2 linked regions of the Astyanax mexicanus genome follow. The protein of the gene in region 1 interacts with the protein of each later gene in a pairwise test. Links are inferred from orthologs where the notes say so. Each region holds a gene or a part of one and is shown on either strand. Other genes may lie near its edges. The genes, in order: fmr1 and nufip1.

Region 1 (11,765 bases):
AAATACTAATTTAAAATCAACATTTAATAAAGCTGAACAAAATACATATGTAAAAAAATCTAAAAAAGACAAACAAATTGACACATAAAAAGTAAATAATTTATAAAATCTAAAATAAATAAAAAAGATAATAATAGTAAAAGTAAAATGAAAAGAATGATAAGAAACGATCAAATTAATAATAATGAACTAAGAAAATAAGAATAAAAAACATTTGAATAAAAAGTAAATAAAAAGTAATAAATAAATGAATGAAATGAAATAAAACAAATTAAAAATGATTAAAAAATATGAAAAAGATAAAGTAATTTAAAATATCGGGATCAGCCTGAGCTCTTAAAAGTTTTCAAGTGGTCCATTTTATCTTTTTGAAGTAGGCTTCTGATATTTAAATGATAAATAATTTTTTTTTTTACACAAACTTAACCTATTGAAACTTCCATTGAAAAACTATTCTGTGAATCTGCCATTATAAAGAATTTAGAGTTGTATCCAATACTGATGGCATACAAAGGTATACATTTCAGCTCATCAGAAATGATTATGGTATTAATGTAGATGAATATGTAAAAGTTCTCCATCCAAGATCAGATTTAGACACAGTCAGCTCATGACGCAGGAAATGGCTAGTCACTCTGAACGCAAAACGCAAAACAGATTAATGTAGGAAACCTCCTACTCCTAGTTGTTATTTTGAAGGTGCCTCACTTTAGCAAAGCTCTGTTAAAGCAGGCACAGTGATGGTAGAGTGCTTATAGCTCAAAGCAGCCGTTTCTCCCCCCACACATCCAACTCAATCATCCTACTATTGCTCACCTCTCCTTTCACCATGCGCACTTTGGCTGCCCACCACCCACATGGCTCCTTGTCATTGGCCCTGGAGTACACCTACAGATCATTCAGGAAAACCAACAGATCTGAGTCAGTTTATGTAGACAACACAGGCTCTGCCAGGCTCTTGCTGGTTACATGTGTATCTGTGGTGTGAACATGTTGTGACTGTACGCACCTCAACATCATCGCTTTCACTGATCTCCTTCTGAACCCCAACAGGGGGAGGAAAGCGAACATCGTGGAACGGAATCTGTCGTTCTGGTTGCCAGCTAAGATGCAAAAAGAAAGAAGAATTAATATTCAGAAAGGTTTTATTAGAAAAGATTAGAATCAGGTTAATTTGTATTTTTTTTTATTAAAGCCTGCAGACTAGGCCTAAATAGATGGGTGATATACAGTATATCATCTGCATAGGGGTTGCAAAAGAAACAGTTTTAGCACCGTAATCATGTGCACGTGCAATAGCTCAAAAACAAAATACCACATATACAACAACAATATATATATATATATATATATATATATATATATTTTTTTTTTTTTTTTTTTTTAACAAACATTTCATGTCATGACATATTGGAATATTGATTTCTGGTGAAAACTCCTGTTATTTTAATATTGCCATATACAGCTCTGGAAAAAAAAATAAGAGGCCACTTAAATTATGAGTTTCTTTGATTTTACTAAATTGAAAAACTCTGGAATGTAATCAAAAAGGAGAACGGATGATCACAAGCCATTAAACCAGGCTGAACTGCTTGAATTTTTGTACTAGGAGTGGCATAAAGTTATCCAAAAGCAGTGTGTAAGACTGGTGGAGGAGGAGGAGAACATGACAAGATGCATAAAAACTGTGATTAAAATCCAAGATTATTCCACCAAATATTCATTTCTGAACTATTAAAACTTTATGAATATGAAGTTGTTTTCTTTGCATTATTTGAAATCTGAAAGCTCTGCATCTTTTTTTTTATTTTTGCCATTTCTCATTTTCTGCAAATAAATGCTCTAAATGAAAATATTTTTATTTGGAATTTGGGGGAAATGTTGTCTGTAGTTTATAGAATAAAACAGCAATGTTTATTTTACTCAAACATATACCTATAAATAGCAAAATGAGAGAAACCGATTCAGAAACTGAAATGGCCTCTTTTTTCCCAGAGCTGTATATCAAAGTCAAAATTATACTGCTATGGCATTTTCCCCCAAAATACTGTGCATTATAAAGTGCATAATAATGTCCATGAAATAATGATACAGTATGATTTACATTCTGAGACTTTGGTTAAGATAACAATGCTTATTTTTAAAGAAGCAGAATAGTTACATTCTTTAGTCAAATACCAAATACAAGTTCCTGTGTTCTTTTTGCACAGAAAAAACACATTTACTTAGAATGAGTCCATTAAGTTTACCATACTGACTCAAATATCATCTGGTACTGATGAGACTGATTTTATCAATACTGCTCAGTGTTTCTACAGACCCTCAGGTGCCACTGAGCTCCACTCAGCAAACAGCACAGCAAAATACACAGCAACCACTTTTCCTACTATGAAAATAAATTATCACTTATATCATCACAAAATAAGTGGATACTCACTTGTTCTCAAAAGCCACAGTGACTGTGTTTTCATGCACATCCTTTATTAAGGCCTGCAAGGAGAAACATTCAGTCAGTTTCTACACTGAAACTACTTTCAATATAAGCAAACAGTTATATACACATAATGTAAATTCCAGTCTTGAAATTCATGAAATGAAGTGATTTTAGAGAACTGCAATGTTAATGAAGATGGCAGAATTAACAGAAGGAGAAGAAGAAAAAATACATTATTTTTTAAAAGTCAATGTAAAAAGATTTTATTTCAATTTTGAGCATTTTATTGGTTCATTTGTCATGTTTTGGACCGCTCATTCCTTTTGAACAATTCATTTTGAGTACAAACAATTATATTGATATGACAAAATCTGAGATACAAGGTTTTTGTTTCTGAAGTTATACTGAAGTGTCTAGGCTAGACTAATTTATAAATGTGTATATAGAATTCACACATCAGGGCATCCCTACTTTTAAATTGCCTGCATGCAAAATGCAGGTTTAGATGTACTCTAAAGCTTGCACTGGGTTGCAGCATTTGAATAGATTCTGAGTAGTGTAGCACATACAAGTGACAACAATATAACCACCTAAAATAGGTGATCTATAGAAAGCACACAAAATGAAAAGGAACACGTTTTGCCCAGTATTCATCATTTTGCACTTTTTTCATCTTTGCCACATTTACAAAGAGCACCACACAATTGAATGACCTATGCTTTAATTAGTATTACATTGTATTCCATTAGTAAATTATGTGTAACATTAGACGACAGCTAAGCAGTAAAGCCAGCAGAAATATGGGGAAACTGAGAATTCTTACAAATGGTTTCTGTCTCTTAGATCTTACTTTAAAATAACAGAATTATATTAGTATATTATTATGACCTGTAATTGTGTTGAGCAAAACATTTTTAATTATCTCATTACAGCACATTACTCCATGCTGGTTACAATCTGATCAAATCAAATTCAGTCTTTCCTATTCATTTGGCCTAACACCAAAAGTGCTTTTTTTTTTTTTTTTTTACATTTTCAGCCCAATAATGTTGGTTGCCAAATACTCAGTGCATCAGTATTTGACTAAGTAAATCCTTCTCCTGTATCCCCTCTTTTTGGAGCTGCTTTACTTAGCTTGCTATATAACTACAAAACATCTACTATATCTAATACATTAAACACAATTAAGATTAAATTTAATTTCATTGTCATTGAAAAAAGTACTAGCCAAAAAAGCTCAATGAAGTTAACATCTAACCAGCAGAAGTGCAAATGATTGAAGATATGAATAAAGAAACTGAATGAACAGCGTGCACATACGGAACCATAAATGGAACAGGTCAAATGCAGCATCAAATGTTGTATAATTGTGTTAAATATAGAAAACATAAAAGTATATTTTCACTGTCCAATGAAAAACATGCATCTCCAAAACAACAACTATACAGGAGAAAGATAAAACCTTCCTAACTTTCAATGGAAGTCAATGTAAAAAGAGTTCATTTGAGGTCATTTCAAAGAAATTCTGGAGGTCCGTTCACAAAGAATTTTTGATAAATTGTAAAGGAACTGTTTTTTTGTTTAAATTATGTCGAAAACTAAAAAAAACAAAAAGGGAGATACGTGTTTTTCATTGTACAGCGACATATACAGATGAGAATATAGAAAAAAGTACACATTTACAATACAACATTTGCCTCCAGTTCTCTTACACTACCATGCTGTATGCACAGATAAGCAGAAGTAATAAGTAATATTAGCACATATAAAATAGCAGTGGCCAGCCAGACAAACAGGATCAGCACTGATCTAATGCCACAAACTTGTACAGAAATGAACAGGTGACACAGTGCTGACTGCTGGCCGCTCAGGACATGCCACACATAGGCTTCAAACACCAGCATAGCAAATGTAGTTAGCTGTAATGATGTGAACAGTCTTTACAATTCAGATAAACAGAATCCTAACTGAAACTGAAAGTCCTAATAATGAACAGAAGCAGATAAACCAGCTAACTATGAAGTCTGAGTCCCAGAATCACACAGTGTGTAGCACAGCCAGCTAACCACCATCCCCTGCAGCTCCCAGCATTACGAGCAATGGCAGCTAGTGGCCTAAAACCAGCCGTCCAGCCATTTTAGGCTTAATGTGAATCAAATGTAGCGCCCGGCTCTGAATTACAGGCTTAAAACAGCGTTTAACTGAAAGCTAGTGCAGACCAGACCCCGGTATACAGCGTTATGAGCGGCTGAACCGAGCTTAATGTACCGCAAACACACGCACTCTCACACAGCTTACATACAGACAGACTGCCCCGGCGGGCCGGGCCTAGCTACCGAGCCTGGACGGCTCCAGCCGCGCACGGAGCCCCGCAGACCCCCAGCGAGGCGCGCTGGGTCCCGGAGACGGAGCTAAACTCGGAAGCAGAGAGATAGAGGGGACGGAACGCAGGAGACTCACCTTATAGAAAGCCCCGCTCGCCCCCCGGACCTCCACCGCCAGCTCGTCCATGGCGCTGCTAGCTGCTGCTGCCCGCAGTGTAACAGTAGCTGCTGCTCTGGGTGTCTGTGGCTGCTGCAGCCGCCGCCGTGTGGTCGCGCCTCCTCCCGCTTCTCCTCTGCTGCAGGGCGGCGCGCTCGGTGCTTCTGTCGCGTTAGGCTGGAGAGCAGGGGGAACAGTGCATGGAGCCCCAGGCCGAGGCTCAGGCTGCTGAGGCTGCTGTTGCTGCTCGTCGCCGCTCCGCTCCGATGTAAACACGGAGACACAGCTCCCTCCTCCCTCCCGCACCTCCACACACACTCACGTGACCCGGAGCTGCGCACTACGTCAGTCCCTCACTCAGTCAGTCAGTCAGTTAGCGCGAGCACGCTCCCCTCATCAAACCCTAACTAATGCTGTCCATACACTAACATTAGATCAGGGGTGTCCAAACTTTTTTTGATGGGGGCCAGAAGGAGAAGTATATTTGAAGTGACGGGCCACAGACTCTGTATTAAAACAAATAATGAAATATACCACTTTTTTTTCCTGATTATTTCATTTACACACCATTTTACTTGACTTACTATCTTTATCTATCTTTGACAGTGTTGTGTAAACTAAGATTTTTCAAATTGATGTTTAATTTCATGATGTCTCTTAATATTAAAAAAAATTAAACAAATTTTACACTCATTTGCCCTTTTTCTGCGCTAAAACTGCTCACTCTCTCCGCTTATAGACTCTTTGCCCCGTTTTTCTGCGCTAAAACTGCACAACCTCGTCGCTTTTAGACTCTTTGGTCCGTTTTTCTGCACTAGAAATAAGCACTCTCTCTGCTTTTAGACTCTTTGGCCCGTTTTTTTGCACTAGAAATGAGCACCCTCTCCGCTTTTAGACTCTTTGGCTGGATTTTCTGCGCTAAAACTGCACAACCTCATCGCTTTTAGACTCTTTGGCCCGTTTTTCTGCGCTAAAACTGCGCACTCTCCGCTTTTATACTCTTTGGCCCGTTTTTCTGTGCTAAAACTGCGCACTCTCTCCGCTTTTATACTCTTTGGCCCGTTTTTGTGCGCTAGAAACGCGCACCCGCTCCGCTTTTAGACTCTTTGGCCCGTTTTTCTGAGCTAGAAACATGCACCCTCTCTGCTTTTAGACTCCTTGTCCCGTTTTCCTGCTATAACTTCACTCTCGCCGCTTTTAGACTCTTTGGCTGTTTTTTTGCGCTAGAAATGCGCACTCTCTCCGCTTTTATACTCTTTGGCCCGTTTTTCTGCGCTAAAACACCTAGCGTTATAAAAACCTGGTTAACAGCGGGCTAACTTTCATTCTATTTCTAAAATACCCCGCGGGCCGTAGTTTGGACACCCCTGCATTAGATGATTTTAGTCTGACACCCTCTCACATCTAAAGACAAGTCACAGACTAAAATTTTGCAAAGGCTGGGGATCACTATTTAAAAGATTGCTAGATTAACGTTACTAGATTCTTTCTAAGATTATTTATCGTGCTTCTGGTAGAGTTTACATACAACACATATTACGTATTAAGTTACAAATAATGTGTATATCAATACTGTGATTTATCAGAGACTCAACTTTTGTCCTTATCAACAATTACATTTTTTTTCACTCTGTTAGTTCTTGATATATGTATATGTATCATAACCTAGAATCGGATTCATCCGCTCTTAAAGTAGACTGCATCACACCTGCCCAGTTTACATTGATTCTTCCGCATGCTTGCTGCAATTACCCATTCTCACCAGAGAGGGCCAAAAACTTAAGCACATCAGCTTTAAAAGTACTAAACAGACACCAAAATACTCTGTGAAGCATTTAGGTGGCTCTTGTCTGTTTTTTAAGGCTGGTAACTCTGATGAATTTATCCCATGCAACAGAGAAAACTCTTGGTCTTACTTTGTTTTCTGGGGCAGTCCTGATGAGAGCCAGTTTCATCATAATGTTTTTGACGTGTGACTGCACTTTAGGATACTTTCAAACTTCTTCAGATTTTTCGGATTGACTGACCTTTATTTCTTAAAGTCATTTTATCTTTACTTAATTTAGTAATTCTTGCAATTGGAGTAATGGATTAGAACATTACTCAAATAGAACTATTCACTGTATACCGATTTACCTCTTAACAACTTTACAACTGATGCTCCCAAACACATTTAGAGGCAAGACATTCTTTAAGTAGTTAATTCTGGATGAGTTCAGCACAGCTGTTAACTGAAAGCCATTCCAGGTCCTTCCAGGACATTTTAATATGTGCAAAGTACCGTCTCAGCAAGAGGTTTGAAAACTGTTTGAAGAATCTAACAGATAAAACATATTCTGATTTGTTTAATACTTTTTGTTTGCTAAATAATTCCATGTTTTTCTTTATAGTTAGGATGAATTTAGTATTAACAGTATTATCTACAATGCAGAAATTTTTCAAATAATGATAAAAGCACTGAATTTAAGGTGTGTTTTGAATATTTGAATATAGGGTTATACTTTAAGGTCTCATCTTAATCTAAAATGACCTATAGTCCTAATTACCTTTAATTTCCTGCTTTAAAGTAAAGACTGATTCCAAGCTATCTATTTTTGTCATTAGAATGTTTCCTGAATGTTACAGTTAACATTCTTAGAAAGTTCAATCTGTCAAGTTTTCTAGATATTATTAGAATTCTTATTATTCTTATATATATATTTTTTATTTAACATTTTAAACATTATGGTATGGTTACTGCAACATCACTTGTTTTAATCGATGTTAAGTTTTGAGAATGTTGCTTTTAATGTTTTTATAATGTTAGTATTCATTTAGATGGGAACATTATGTGAGAAACATTCTAATATCATTTTAATGCAAACCATTATAATTTCACATGTTTTTAGAACGTTTCTGGAACATTATGCCTGTAATGTTAAAAGCTAACCTTCCTGGAACCTTTTTAAAAATAATGCAAAACATTTTCAGTAAGTTTTCTGTTAGCTTGGTATAGGCTTGTAGTTATTAAAAAAAAAAAACATGTATTTACCAAGTGGCATAGTGCACACCATCACTGTCCAATGAAAAACATTTGTCTTCAAATGTGCAGTTTCACAGGAGACAGATAAAGCCTTCTTAACTTTCAATTGAAGTCAATGTAAAAGGAGTTTATTTCAGGTAAGGAAAACAAGACCTTATAATAGTTACATCAACTATTAAATCAAATCAGATTTATTGTAACATCAGAGTGGTACAGGTGAGTGAAAAACTTGGGTGCACAATATTTACAACATAGAGTGGAATAAGTAAATAAAATAGAAAATATACAATTAATGTAATATGCAGTACAAAATAACTTGCACTGTAGATGTAATGTAAAATATAACTGAATATATAGTTATTACAATGCCATATACATGTGCAAATAATCTAGATTATACCACAGTTAGTTTCGACTCTGCAATGTGATTGGCTGAGAGGCGTTCTGTGAGTGCCGTTATCAGCCGGTAATGCTCTCCATGTATTACTCCGCCACATACACGTAACCTAGCAGTGATGCAGTGCTTACATGCCAATCAGCGCAGCTACAAACAGAGCAGCAATGGATCTCTTTTAATTCACATTCAGAGTTTTAAAACCAAACAGATCATATATATTTTTTTCGTTCTTGTTAATTTTCAATCTTTCAATAAACAGTGATAATGGATCTGTGGTATAAACGCAATAAAACACTAAAGGTTCGTGCTATAACGTGTAATATTAGCACTGCTGTGCACGACCGCAGCACAGCAGTGCCAATATTATGTATTATGTATTATGCAATAATACAATGCCCTTTTATGTATTATTGCTTACTGTAAGTATGTGTGCGGAAGTGTGGAGATAATTCAGGTGTAACTAGTATTAGTAACTATGAGTAAAGTGCAGGTACCGAGTGAGTTGTGTGGGAAGTACAATGTGCAGAAAGGATAGGTGCAGTGTGAAGTAAAATGCAGGGTGCAGTGAGTTTGTATGTGATGGCAGTGGTGTGGGTTGGGCAGAACACTGTTCTACTGGCTGTTCAGCAGCCTGGTCACCTGGGGGAAGAAGCTATTTCAGAACCGACTGGTTCTGGTCTTCAAGATTCTGAGCCTCCTTCTACTTGGCAGCTGTGAGAACAGGGAGTGGCTTGGATGGGAGGGGTCCTTCATGATCATTCTAGATTTCCTCAGGTGGTGGTTGGTGTATAAATCCAGAAGGTTTGATAGCTGAACCCCAGTGATGTACTGAGCTGTACGCACTACCCTCTGCAGGGATTCTTTCGCTCAAGAGCAGTACAGTTCCCGTACAAGGTGGTGATGCTGCCGGTCAGGTGTAGAAACTCCTGAAGATGATGGGGTTTAGACCCAACCTCCTTAGCCTTTAATAGGAATCCTGTTATGTTAAAAACTCTAACCCGAATCAATCATTTGCTATTCGATTAGAACACACACTCAGATTGGTGCCATAAGTAAGAAAATAAGTGAGAAAATCATGGTACTGTATATAAGCTGGTAAAATGATGTGTGTGCAGTGATGATGTTCTGTTTAAATGGATATATTTTCTTTAGGAATGTAGATTTCCTCTGTTGTGTTTTGTCTCACTGTGAACGTCACACAGGCTAATGGCGGTAGTAAAGGGCAGTGTGATTGAGATAAGGATAAGGACTTGTTTGTGTCCTTGTTTACAGTGTATCTCTAAATCAGATGTGCTGGTATGGCCTACAGTAGCAGGACTGTGGGGGGAATATGGGCGATTCCATCATTGTGTAATGAGGTGTAAAGTCACTTTGTGGAGATTATTAGAGAATCTGGAGCTGAACTGAGATCTGGGTGGAAGTGAATGTTGCAGACAGTCAATAAGAGGCACATAAGTGATCCATGAGGATCCACACCATTGTGTTCAGTTCTGTTCAAGAATTGGAGTACATTACTGTAGTTTGGATATGTAATGCAAATCAGCAATTTTGCGCATAGTTGTCAAATTTCAAATTTGCATCTTATTTGCATAAATGTAATGGCTAACCACTTTGTTTAAGTCTGTTAGGTAGGGTAACACCTGTTGGAAGAATGTTTAGCAGGTTCCTGTAAAGTTAGCCTGCAACCTTACAGAAGTAATGTTTCAGGAATGTCTCAAAACGAGTGATGTAATAATAGTTTGCATTACAACGTTATTAAAACGTTTCTCTCATAACGTTCCCAGCACACACACACACACACACACACACATTCTCTCTCTCTCTTTTTCTCACATGCTGTCTCCCCCTCCCTCTGTCTTTCTCTCACATGCATGGTCTTTCTCTTCATTTCTCTTTCTCATACTCTCTCACTTGCTATCTCTTTGACTTGCTTTTTTGCTCTCTCTCTTTCTTTCTCTCTCTCTCTCTCTCACACACATACACAAACACTTGCAAGCTCTCTCCCTCTCTCAAACGCTCAATTCCTCTACACTGTAAAACATTTCAAGTTGGTTAAACTCAGCAACATAAGTTCCCCTGCTGCCTTAAAAAGCTCAACTTGATAAAAACCTTTGTATCAACTCAAGATGTTAAGTTAAACAAGTTGTTCAAATACTCATTACTTATTGTTTCAACTTGATGCACTTAGTTAAAACAACTTAAGTGTTTAATTGGTCCTTTTTAAAAAATGATCTGTTTAATCAAATAAACTAAAAAATCATCTTTATTTTAACACACTTTCAAGTTAATAAAACTTAAGTAATATTCACATAACTTATCATTTTAAGTTAACCATGGGTATTCTCAACATATTTAATATATTATTATTTAACTGCCAATACTGACAGTATAACGCTAGGGCAGTATAAGAGTAAACTTGGTAAAGAGTCACTCTGTAGCTCAAAGCCAGCATACTGTGATCACTAAGAACACAGAATTAATTTAATATGCTCTTACAGCCTACAACACTGAGGCCTGCCAATCAATACATATATTATAATACTGCACGCCCAGGACAAGGTAGCTTTGGGCAACAGACAACACAAAGATGGTAAGTAAGGGAGAGGCCACACCCAATATGCAGATATATGGTACCAGGAGCCTATAGGAAAGCTGCATGAACCAACACTGTAGAAAGAGCTAACATTTGGTTGAAATCACATTTTTTTATTCGCTCAACAAACATTTTTAAGTTTTACGGTTGAAAACAATTGAGTTGTACTGGCCGGTGAGTTCACTCAACTTAATAATATTAGTTCTCCTTACTAAAACACAGAATTACTTTTTAGAGTGTTGGTGACTCACGCCGCCCTCAAGGAGTCCGGAGAGAGGCGTGTCCCTCCGCAGCTGAAAGTAATCCCCTTTAGTTTTTTTGCTCCTTGTTATTATTAATTGCTATGCGTTGGTTAAAAAGTGTTTAGCCCAATGTCCCCCCGGTTTTAAAGTTGTAAAAAGTACTCCAGTCTGTTCTAACTTGCTGCCTATCACTCTACCTCTCTGCATTTTCAAATCTTCCTACTTTCCTTTTTTTAACCAATAACTTAAAAACGTAAGTTGAATAAACGTGGGAAAATTTGAATAACTCACAGGAAGTTAAGACAATTTGTTATTTTAAGTTATTTTTATTTAAAACAAAGGAACTTCAATATCCTAAAATTGTCATGGCAATTGGAATTGAAAAGAACAATTGAATTCACATAACTTAATGTGGCTGTAATGTTTTAAAGTGTATCTCTTTGACTTGCTTTTTTGCTCTCTCCCTCTCTCTCTCTCTCTCTTACACACACTTGCAAGCTCTCTCTCTTTCTCTCTCAAACGATCGATTGCTCTCTCTCTTTCTTTCTGTCTCACACTCACTTGCTCTTTATTTTTTGCTCTCTCTCTCTTTTACT
Region 2 (12,062 bases), on another chromosome or scaffold:
GACAACCATTCACCACAAGCGAACGCTGTGTTTCAGTGACACTTCCCTCTGTTACACCACTTCCACAGTCCTCTTTATCAGTCATCAGTCCATTCGTACTTACTGCTGCAGTTTCAGACATCATTGGGTTACAGTTATCAGAAGCGAGTCCGAAGAATCCTTTACGCACAATAAAGCGAATGCACTGAAGCACAACGTTTCTTTCATGGCGAATGTCGGAAGCCAACAACTGCAAGAAATAATAAAAAAAGATTATATATAACATTAACAATAAAACTTAACAGTTCAAATTATGATCATACCAAATAGAGCATCTTGATACAGGGTCCATACTCTTTTTAACCAATACATTTTCATGATTGTTTTCATGATTTTCCATGCCTTAATGGCAAAGTTTCATGACCATCATTACATTTTTTAAACCATCAGAGCAGACCAAAATCCAACTAAAACTATAATGAAAACTGATTATAGTAGGTCTAAAATCAACACAATCTTCAATAATAAAATGTGTGTCAGATTTTGAGAGCTCCATTGTAAAGGGCTAAATTACTGAATTAACTCTGAGCTGACATATTTGTTCGCTCAAAATAGATGTTCTTCGTTGATAAACAGAACAGAGTTTTTTATTTTTTCAAAACGTATCCAGGCCTGGTAATTTTTATTAATTTATTTATTTTTCAAATTCCATGACTTTTCCAAGTTTTTTCATGACTGTATGAACCCTGTTGATAAAATCAATTAAGACTAAAACATACATTATATATATATTAGCTTGTCGATTATCCTTACCATCTCTAAAAGGGTGTGGCGACGGTTCTGTGGAACACTGGTGGGGTTATTACCACCTCTTCCACCCCTACCACGACCACGGCCACGCCCCCTTTTGCCTCTGCCACACCACCTGTTTCTCTGGTCTGAGACAGGATAAGGTGCTTGGTGGTCAGTCTCAGATTGCCTGATTGGTGGTTCCTTGTTAAGACTCTGTGCACTGTACTGAGCAGGAACAGAAAGACCTGCCAGCAAGGCCTTGTTCTCCTCCAAAGCCTGAGCTGTTTTCAAGAGAGGGGAATCTAAAATTGAGAAAAAAAATAACATCAACCAACACAGAAATCTATCAAACCAATACAAAAACATAGGGAAAAATGAACATTAGTGGAGAAAAAGATCAGTTACTAGGAAAAAAGGAAAGTTACTGTAGGAACACATGCAATATAGAAAAAAGAAACAACGATAATCTACAAATTTTAAGCAAACTGATGCCATAATGTTTTTTTGTGCAGTCCTTGATTCACTATTAACCACTAATATAAAACTATAATAGAATAAGCTTCAAAGAAAATGAAACCACACCGGTTAGGCAAACAGAGTCGACATTTAGTTAGAGAGAGGGTGACATCATCTCTCTATTTGCTCTCTCAGATTCAAGTCATGTCTTTTCTCTCAGTACCAGCCTTTCAGAAACTACTGTACTGCAACCTGAGCTTATCAACATTTGTATTGCTGACTAAAGTAATGGGACTACAGCTAAGGGCATACACTGTTCAGTGAGCACTGCAGCAGCATTGTGCTGGTATTTTGTTCACACACTGAGAGAGACTCACTTCCCACACACAGGTTAGGGTTTTTTATTTTATTTTATACATTAATACCCTTGCTTCAAATGGTGTGCTCACTAAAATTTTAACATGTTAGAAATGGCATTAATCGCTCACTCACTATCTGATTCTTCCTCGCTCTCGGTCATGTCTCCTCCATAGCTGGACATCAGTGATCCCAGAGCAGAAGTCATATTTTTGGGCGCCACAGAAATGGATGCTTTCGTCTCCTTCACAGGTTCTTCTTTTTCAGAATCTAAAAAAAGAAAAGAAAAAAGGACACCAAAAGAACAAGTCATTTTAGAATGACTAAGGATGATGCTTTTGGGAAGAAGTGTCTCGAGAGCTAACCTGGGTCACTGTTGGCCAGAACTCCAAGAGGATCTCCATCTGGGTGAGGACGTACAGGAGCTGGTGGCTGCTGCTGCTGCTGCTGCTGCTGCGCATTTGCTGGTTGTACATGTTGCTGGCCACTATATGCACCTCGGCTCTGATTCTGGACGTGTCCACCACGACTTTTAAAATTACTGAAGCGATAAATAAAAACATGTATAGTTATAAGCAGGTCACTTTTTATCAGCTAACGCGAAAACTGCCATGTGGCTCCATCTGCCTAATGGTATTTACTAGCGTCATTCCCAAAGTACACTGCCATGCCAAGACGTCATAGGACAGAAACTAAGAGTACCATACCCCAAGACTTTCCCCATGTTCCACACAAGTTAATGAGCATTGCACTCCCAGTTTGCATGTGACCCTCGTGACCCCAGTGTTCTACTTCACTTACAAGATAACACCTCACAACTTATACAGCTTTAGGTATTCACAGGCTGCCTCTACCTGACAGGTAGAATATTATAACTAAGGTGCACCAGATTATAAGCTACACTGATGATATTTGGGAAAATAAAAGGATTTTAAATGCGCCTTATAGTCCGGAAAATACGGAACTGTTATCCCATGACTTTTGGCATGTGAGTGTAAATACCACATAGTTAATTGACAGGTAATTACCCAAACTGGGCAGTCTCCAGCACATCTCCCCTTTGTGCTTTAACCTCCATGGCCTTAATTTTCCTCTCCACGTTGCTCAGGGTTGGGTAGTTTCTGTAAGGTAGGACATATTACGGTGTGGTGAATCATTACTGCAGGTTGACAACATTTACCTCCACAATTAAATAAAAGTAGTAAGAGTAATTTCGGAAAAAAGGGAGGGAATGATCATACTTTCTCCTTTCCTCTCTCCATTTTGCAATCTCCTCTGCAGTGTCCAATTTGATTCGCTTTGCTCCAGGAGCATGGTTCTGAAATACAACACACAACAATGACAGGGTATTTAAATCACATAAACTCTGCCAATTCAGCCAAAACATTAACACCATCTCCTAGTTTCTCCTTGTTCAAAGTCTTTCAAGCATAGACTTCATAGTTCTATAATTACAGACTGTAGTTCTGTATCTGTTTCCCTCTATACTTTATTATTCTCCTGCTTTCACCCTGTTTTTTAATACTGAGAAACCCACAGCAGAGAAAAAAAACACTGAGCAGCTATTAATAATAATAATAATAATAATAATAATAATTTTACTATTTGGGTGGTGGGTCATTATTCTCAGACATTAGTCTGGATATTCAGGTGAGAAAATGCCTTTTGTGCCACCCGTGCCGCTATAATGAACCCTCTTTATTTATTGCAGTTTTCATTTGTAATTATATCTGTAGGTACAAACAAGACTGAATAAGAGCACTTACATTTCTCCAATGGATTTGGACGAGCTTCTCATGCGCAGTAAATGTGCAATCCTCAACTGAGCACTGAAAACAGAACATAATAATACATCACATTTTGTGGTTCTACTTTAAAAAAAACAATCTATTCTTGAAATTGGAAAAAATAAAAATGGGCAGTTCATGTAAATGTAATTTACAGAGAATATGTAGGCCTGTCACAATGCCACAATGGAAATGCCAGTGCTATAGATAATAGCAAAATAAATTTACTTTACTATTTACTTTGAATTACTAAGAATATTCAAACTATTTACCTTACCTTCACATGCTGGGCAATGTGCTCATCATACTTGGTTTTGTTTTTAAAGCCTCGATCACAAGTGTCACAGAAGTGACTGAACTCTGGTTCTTTCTGCTTTTTCTGCTGAAATAAATAAAACACAGTGTGTTTACTAGCTTGTACTTGTTATTTATTCACAGCATGCTCACAAATAGATAGAGAAATGACACAGAAACATGATTTTACATGATCAGATGTACAGGAAAAAGATTTCTTACCTTTTTACCCCACTGGTTTTGGCCGTGGCCTTGCCGTCCATATCGATTATTATTATGATGCGGACCTGTAAAGATTTTAACAGAACTGTTAAAGGTCTGAAAGGCCACACACCGACTGAGCTGATAAAACATTAGCTGGTAACACATACACACATAAAAAGCTTGTTTAAAGTTTAAAGTTAGGGAAAGGATATGATCATTTTTAAGCATCTTGGATTTTGATTAAAAATATTTTGTTATTTAAAATGTACTGTAATAATGATCTAAAACATAGTTACTTGAAAATATGCTGTTTCCTGAAGTTTCTACAGCCAATTAAATTCATTGATGACTAGGAGTGTGAACCACAGGGCAACAAGGGAGTCTATATGTTTTAATAAAAGATATTTGATGCCATGTATTGATACAATACTAATGAAACAATGCAATATACTGCAATATTATATAATATATAATATTGTACCACTGCTAGTGATGACCCTATGTATTCACAAAAAGCCACTTATGCCATATGCTCTTTTATTACAGAGGTGGACTAATGTAATGTTAGGAGTCTAGCTCAAGTGCTTTTATGGGTGTATCACAGTATAGTCACCCAGAACAGGAATTAAACCCCAATCTCCAGCATGATATGGTAGCTCACTGGCAGATAGTGGTGTTATCCACTGCACCATACCATCCACTGTACTGTACTGTACTGTACTGTAGATAGCTATATTATATCAGGCCTGTGTGTTGTTGTGTTTTTCATGGTCTCTCACCTGGATATCGATGCTGCCCGTAGTTCTGATAGTACGGATGTTGGTACCCGCTGTAGGGAGCAGTGGGGTAGGGGGTCCAGGGATCTGCTGCTGCGGGAGCTGCTGGAGGAGCAGTCGGGCTCCAGCTCCAGTCTCTGGAAGCCTGGAACTTGTCTGGAGCTGCTCCTGATGCTGGTGCTGCTGGTTGTTGTTGGGGGCTCCAGTGGAAGGTCGGTGGTCTGAGGAGAGCTCCCTGAGCTGGAGAGCTGAAATCCGGGGGCGGGTAACTCCCAGACTCCGACATGACCACTGTCACCTTTTACACAAATAAATAAACCTCTCAAAACTCTCTAAACTCCTGTATAAACTCACCAGAACTCTCACATGGCTCTGCCTCTTCACGCTTTCCTACACACGTGCTACTCAAACCCGGCGTCACTTCCGGGTAAAATTATACACAACAGCCGCTCCGAACAGCAGAGGGCGCTGTAGCGCTAAAAACTGAGCACATGCTGTATATATGGGGAAAGTGCGCATGCGCATGTACGAAAATACGGTCAGTGTAACATTTATTAATTTAATTTCTAACCTTTTGAAGCTAAATGCAAAAATAGAACATTGGGTATAAAACTTCATTATTATTTTTTTCCATTTACTTTGGTGAGAAATAAACTGACTTGTTTTTCCGAGTTTTTCATTTCTGCTTTTTGCTAATAGAATTGAAAAAAAAAAAAATCTCTCAATTTTCTATTTTTTTTTAGTTTTCCCATTTTTGCAATAACTTTTGTTACAAGGTGAAAAAATCAGAAAATTAAGATAAGATTCATTTTTTTTTAAACTTTCCTGAAATTCTAATTGTGAGATGCAGAAATACAAATTATGAAAACCCATACAAAAATATGAAAACCCATTTCTTCTGTACTACACAAAATGGTTAAAATAAAAAAAATAAAAAGTTTTACTGTCAGTGTAACCTTTATTAGTTTAATTTTCTGACTGTTCAAGGCTAAAAGCAAAAATAGAAAATTGTATGTGAAAAACCCATTATTATTTTTTTTTTGTACAAGAAATAAGTTTTCATGCATTGTACAACATTGTAGCAACAATGCAAGAATTTAGGGATTGCTGGGCTTTAGGTCATTGTAAATGATTTGATTAAAAAAGAGACATTTAATGAACAGCCATGTACACATCAGACTAACAGTGAGCAGAGATAACATACAATGAGAGCACATTGTATTTATTTATGGTTTTATTAGTCTTTGGTAAATTCACAACAGTTTGTTTAACACTCTTGGACATGGATGACTCAGACTCAGTCAAGGACTTCCCATTTACTAACTATAGAATGTCATGATTTATGGCATTGTTTCAATACACAATATTGAGGTATTTGGCTGAATCTCAGAATTTATATCTTCTTATATTTCCTCTCACTTCAAATATGAAGCAGATAACAGTCCATTACTGTTCCCAGATAATTAGATTTCTTACAGTGTGTTTCACAAATGAACATTTCATATATATATTATAAAAAACAAAAGTTGATATAAAGATGACTGATGTTATGTAAAACTTTGTCCATTTATGCTGTTTTTATGGTGGATGTCATTTGTAACACAGCTGTTGTCCAGTTAAAAAAAACACAATGTCTGAATGTAAAATAAGTCTTTAGTACGTACAAAATGTTCAATCAATTTTAACTACAACTTGGTGGATAAAAAGCTTTTTGAGAAAGTGTTTTTTGCCGTTTCACTGTGAAGTGAGTGATGGGTCACAGTCAGTGGAGCTCCTTGATGCTTCTTTTCTGTGACCACTGGCCAGTAGCCTGCATTCTCTTCATACCACTTAACTGGAAGACAGGAGACACAAATTATACATTAGAACATATTAGAACCCCCCCCCCTCCCCTATGTTAACTAATAGAACAAGGCACAAGCCCTGTTACCCATTCTCAGATCAAATCAATAAAAAGGTAATGAGAATTTTCAGGCTTCTTACTTGTCCTTCTGATTCCCTCCTTCCATGGAACCTTAGGCTTCCAACCAAGTTTGTGCATCTTGTCTGAGATCATTGGGTATCTTAAGTCACTGACAGGTCTATAATATGAAAAACAACCTTATAAAAGCAAAAGTTATTATAATATAAAAAGAGAGAAACTTAAATACCACATATAGTGTTATGCAGCAGTTTGAGCACACCTGGTAAAATTACATGAAATTCTTTATTCTTTAAAAAAATCTATGTCTGTATATTTTAATACAGTTACTCTTTATTTGCTGAATGTAAACCCTTTGTTAAAAAAAGGTTTACCATTGTTTAAAGTAACAGTTCTTAAGTGTTTGGTGAAAATGTGTAACTGCAGTACTTTGTTGTATTTTATTGTGGTGCAATACAACTGCTCCACAGTTTGTATTACTTACAGGAAATGGAGCTTTAGAATAAATTAGAATAAATAAACAACAATAATAATGAATTAAAAAATCATATATTTTGTCAAGGAGTGCCCAAACCTGTAGGTTACCAGAGCTTTTCTTTTACACACCTGTCCTCAACAAACAGCAGCCAGTTATCCAGATCATCAGTAGATGCATTCTTCACCTTCAAAAAAAATTAAATAAATAAATAAAATTAAATAAATAAATAAATAAAAATCACTCCAAAGACATAGACATTTTAAATGAGATGAATAACATTTAATCTGTGACTAAAACCTATATATTTCTCTATTTTCTATGAATTTACATGACGGTCTACTTTAGTTTCAAACTTTTAAATATTTTTATGCTACCAATATAAATTTAAATATAAATAAATTTGTACTCCTGGAATCCTTGATGGTGTATCCATTTCTTTAGCATAGTGATTTTCTGGTCCTATCTTGTTACTCCAATATTGCATTTTTGTTTAAGTTTCTGCAGTACATTATATGATATATTTTACATGTTTCAAAAATAAAAGCTGACAATGGAACCTACCAACTGTACAAGCTCTCTAGCCAGGTGGATGATGGGAATCTCAAAGTTGGCACCGATGTTGTAAATCTCTCCCAGGACGCCTTGTTCCATCAGGATGAGAAGAGCATCCGTGACATCATCAACGTGAAGAAAGTGACGGGACTGAAGGCCTGTTCCCTGAATAGTGCTATAAAGAGAGAACAGGATTTGATTACAAACAAAAAACGCAACATAAATGGTGTAAAGTTTGTTAAAAGCTAAATATGCTTACCACTTTTGGTCCTGTTGTAGAAGTAACAAAAATTTTGGAATAACCTGAAGAATAAGCAGGGAAAAAACGTTTATATCACCACTTAATAAAATGGTGGTGTGGAAGAATGATAGAACTACCTGCATACCTTTTCATGATACTGTCTTGGTCCGTACACATTACTGCTCCTGGTTATTAAAATGGGAAACTAAAATGCAAAATTACAAAATGAGGAATATTATCAAATTGAAAATAAAAGGAAACAATAAATCACCAATAATTCAAAATCATAATTTTATTACCTTGTGCTTTTCCCAGTATGATAACACAATGTTTTCAGCAACAGCTTTTGATGCTGAATATGGATTGGTTGGCTTTTTTGGACTCAACTCATCAAATTCCTGTGAACATTACATGTTTGATAAATTCTAATTGTAACAGAAATTATTAAAAAAAACATTGAAATAATTTCCTAAACTTTTAAAAATAATTTTAAAATCAATATTATCCTGAGTACAAATCAAAAATGTAATGTTCTCCAAACCTTTTGTTTTTTTATGGTTCTCTAGTTTTTATGTCTATTTTAAAGCTTGCAGAATTTACAGTTGATAACTCAGAGAGTTATCAACTGTAGAGAGTGAACAGGGTGTCCAGGTGTTCTTTATGAGAGCCTTAACAGGAATAAATTGTACTGCAGAGTAAAAGGGGATTTGTATAACTACACCTAAAAGGTTAAACATCTAAAATGACACTGACCTTGTCCAGACTGTCTCCATAAACCTCATCAGTGCTCACGTATATAAACCTTTCCACTCCAGCTTCAAACGCTGCTCTGAGCACTACATGTGTACCTTCAGCGTTCACGTGCATGAACTGAGACGGATACAGGAAAGAGTTATCTGAGATAGAAAAGAAAAAAGAGAGGAGAGTAATCTGAACAACATTCGCCTGATTCACTGAACATCACTGATATATTACCTATAACAACCAGAAGGATTCATATCTAAATCAATAATTACTCACCAACATGAGACTGAGCAGCACAGTGAAACACAATGTCGATATTCTCAGTAGAAAACAGATGATTAATGAAGTATTGGTCACATATGTCTCCCTGTGAAGAAAGAGAGGCAAAATGAATCAGCATTAGGAAAAAAGGAAATATTATAATATTTTATAATCACTGCTTACTTAAAAACTCAACCCTCTCAGTAACGATAAGTATAAAATGGAGTTGGACAATATGGCCAATAAATAATATCATAATATTTTTTTTATAATAATCATAATAATTAAACCTTTGTCTATTCTGTCAACAACAGTACGTTACCAAGACTTTGTACAGATTTTGTATAAAATTATAATAATAATGTAACAAGATAAATAATGAATATAAACAACACAAAATATCATTAAAGCTTTAAAGTAAACAATAAAAATACAAAATACTTTCATTATCAATCTCAATATTACTGTGTCATGAAATATTGTGCTTGAAATGAAATTGCACACCCTAATTACAGAAATATTGCTTTTGATATTCACTGAGCAAATATTGTCTGGGGAAAATTATACATCACAAAATCACAAATGTGAATTACGCAGTATTGAGACTTGATTATCTGATTGTGGTATCTTAAATAAAGACAGAAAAACACGCATATCATGAGGGCCCCAAAATTGCCATGATGAAAAAGAAAAACACAAAAAAAGACACATTTATTTATTTTGGTTGGTATATATTTTTTTTATTATTGATATATAAACTACTGTTTATGATTTTGTCTCAGAGTGAAGAAGGAATATTATATAACAGTTCTCACATTAAATCTTACCTGAATGAATTTGTATGTACTTGTGTTCTTAAGACATTCGAGGTTCTTCAGGCTTGAGCAGTACTGCAACTAAAACAGATTATATACATTATATTATACACATTATTACAATATACACACAAATTATACACATTACTTACACTCAATTACACACAGACAGTATAATTAACAATTAAATAGACTTACTGAGTCAATATTTATTATCCTCCACAGTGGATATCTTGCAGCCAGGAGGATGATGAGGTGCGACCCTCTAATAGATCAAAAAATCATATCAAATATTAACATAGGTGTACAGGTGAGTGAACACGAGGGTCCAGAGTTAAGATATAGGTTAACTGATTAATAGATAATTCTCCTATACAGTACTATAACCTACAGTCTGTGTGAAGCAGAGAAAGAGCACTAGGATTTAGGAGGATTTACTTTTTGCAATTTCGAGAAAGCAAAACAATCAAGTAATGTAAAAAAATGTGGTTAAATATTTAATTCCATTAATAAATAAATTAATGAATAAATGAATTAAATCAGCACTTACATGAATCCAGCTCCTCCAGTCACAAGAACAGTCTTCCTACAGTCCAGCTCCAGCTTCTCCTCTCTCTCTGACATTGCTGCTTATTAATTTGAGGGAAAACTCTTGCAAATATTCACATTTTTATTAATTAAGAGCTATTTTTCTGCATTATTTAGCCCCAGCATGACAAATAATCTATGACAGCTCTCTAAGCTAACTTAGTTAAGATGGAACGCCAGTTATCTAGCTTCAAACCCTGTAAAACGCTGAGATATTAATGCCACAGCACAAGTAAGCATAATTACCTGTATAATACTCGTCATTTTTTACATGATTAACGTTTAAATTAAACTGTTAAAGCAGAATCATGATTAAACAGCCGCTAACACTAACTAACTGCTCACATAACAAAATACCCAAACACTTTGCGACACTGTGGAACGCTTTGCGGCAGTGCTGACACGTATCATACCAGCTGCATGCGTTACCACAGAAACTTCAGAGAGGAGAATTCCCACTGCAGTGTGTGTTCCGGGTTCTTCATGTGGAGCAATTAAAGAGTAACTAAACCCCCTGATTTTAGCTGACTGGCTAAAAAGGCAAAAAAAAGGAAAGAGTAGTTGGGAGGGGCACTGGGTGATGTATGGGTTTAGGGGTGGGACAGGAGGGAACAGCTCACCAGAAAGTCAGCACACATTAGCAGCAATGCTAGCCAGTGCCTTTACTGCCTAACAATAACATTTATTTATTTATTTTTATTTGAAAACTTTAAATTTACAAAATTGTAAGACATTGTTAAGTTATGATACAGCAATGACACATTTACACTATTAAATGTAACAGAATTAATCATAAATTAACTAATACACAAAACAATCATTGAAAACAAACAGACAACAATAAAATATGTCAACACAACTTAGTTAGGTCACTTCATTAGTTGGGTAAAAGATCTTTAGCACTTTAAAATTACATTAATTTTAGGGACTTATATAGTAAAATTTCTTTATAATAGCATATAATATAAAAATATAATTGACAAAATAAGCAAACATTGATTAACAGGTCCACCTTTGGATTCTCTATTATTAAAACAAAAATATAGATATAATTATAATATATTTTTGTCAATTCTGTGTGCTTTTGGTGTTTAGTCAATTTATGAATTTATATTTTTAGAACAGCACGAAAGAGTAAGGGAGCATGAAATAAATGGATATTTGTTTGTTTAACCTGTTGTTTGTTATATAGAAACATGGAAATATATATATATATATATATATATATATATATATATATATATTTTTTTTTTTTTTTAATTATTATTATTTTTTTTTTTTTAGAAAATGCTTTTTTCTACTTTCTAAACCCATACATAACCCAGTGTCCCTTCCAAACTACCATTTCTAGAATTGTTTTTTTCTAGAATTTTTTTTATTTAAGCCCCATTCACCCCCATTCATTAAGGACTCGGTCGCGGGCTCCCTCTAGCGGATTGCTATGGTAGTTAAGAAAACCCGAAGTGACAGTCTTGCTATAAACCGGCTCTTTAACAGATGCACGCGTTGCCTGGTTGTTGTCCCGCCTCTGCCCTCTTCTGATTGGCTGTACTGACACTCGCTGTGGAAATCTCGTTCAGTTAATTGGTCAGCAGCGCTGTCAGTCAGCAGCAGCAGTCAGCGGAAAAGTGTAATCCTCATTCATTGCTTTATATGAGGAATATAAATCGCTTTTATGGGCCGGTGGTGATGAAATAATGCGCTCGTTTTCAGTTCTGCTGCTTGCTTTGCTGCACTGGGTTTTTCCTGCTGCTGGAAAAACAATTTCAGGGCTGTTTCGGAGCGAAACAGCGAGGGAGAATAATGGGCAGTACATC

The links.
Region 2: the proteins of fmr1 (region 1) and nufip1 interact in a two-hybrid assay, tested with the Homo sapiens proteins (2 studies listed by BioGRID). The link is inferred for Astyanax mexicanus from reciprocal best matches to the Homo sapiens genes FMR1 and NUFIP1.

What each region holds. Positions count from the first base shown.
Region 1 is NC_064417.1:21,671,149-21,682,913, reverse strand, and holds the start of fmr1 (synaptic functional regulator FMR1), read right to left. Parts: upstream 5,205-11,765; 5' UTR 4,946-5,204; coding exon 4,895-4,945; intron 2,491-4,894; coding exon 2,438-2,490; intron 1,104-2,437; coding exon 1,010-1,103; intron 889-1,009; coding exon 817-888; intron 1-816.
Region 2 is NC_064412.1:55,614,351-55,626,412, reverse strand, and holds the start of nufip1 (nuclear fragile X mental retardation-interacting protein 1), read right to left. Parts: upstream 5,078-12,062; 5' UTR 4,932-5,077; coding exon 4,649-4,931; intron 3,953-4,648; coding exon 3,888-3,952; intron 3,754-3,887; coding exon 3,649-3,753; intron 3,414-3,648; coding exon 3,351-3,413; intron 2,903-3,350; coding exon 2,826-2,902; intron 2,706-2,825; coding exon 2,613-2,705; intron 2,126-2,612; coding exon 1,950-2,125; intron 1,855-1,949; coding exon 1,720-1,854; intron 1,074-1,719; coding exon 793-1,073; intron 230-792; coding exon 1-229. Other genes in the region: dTDP-D-glucose 4,6-dehydratase, read right to left, coding at 6,331-6,479, 6,629-6,726, 7,173-7,228, 7,606-7,771, 7,856-7,899, 7,983-8,042, 8,137-8,235, 8,591-8,733 and 4 more; integral membrane protein GPR180, read left to right, coding at 11,943-12,062. UniProt on the Homo sapiens protein: Binds RNA.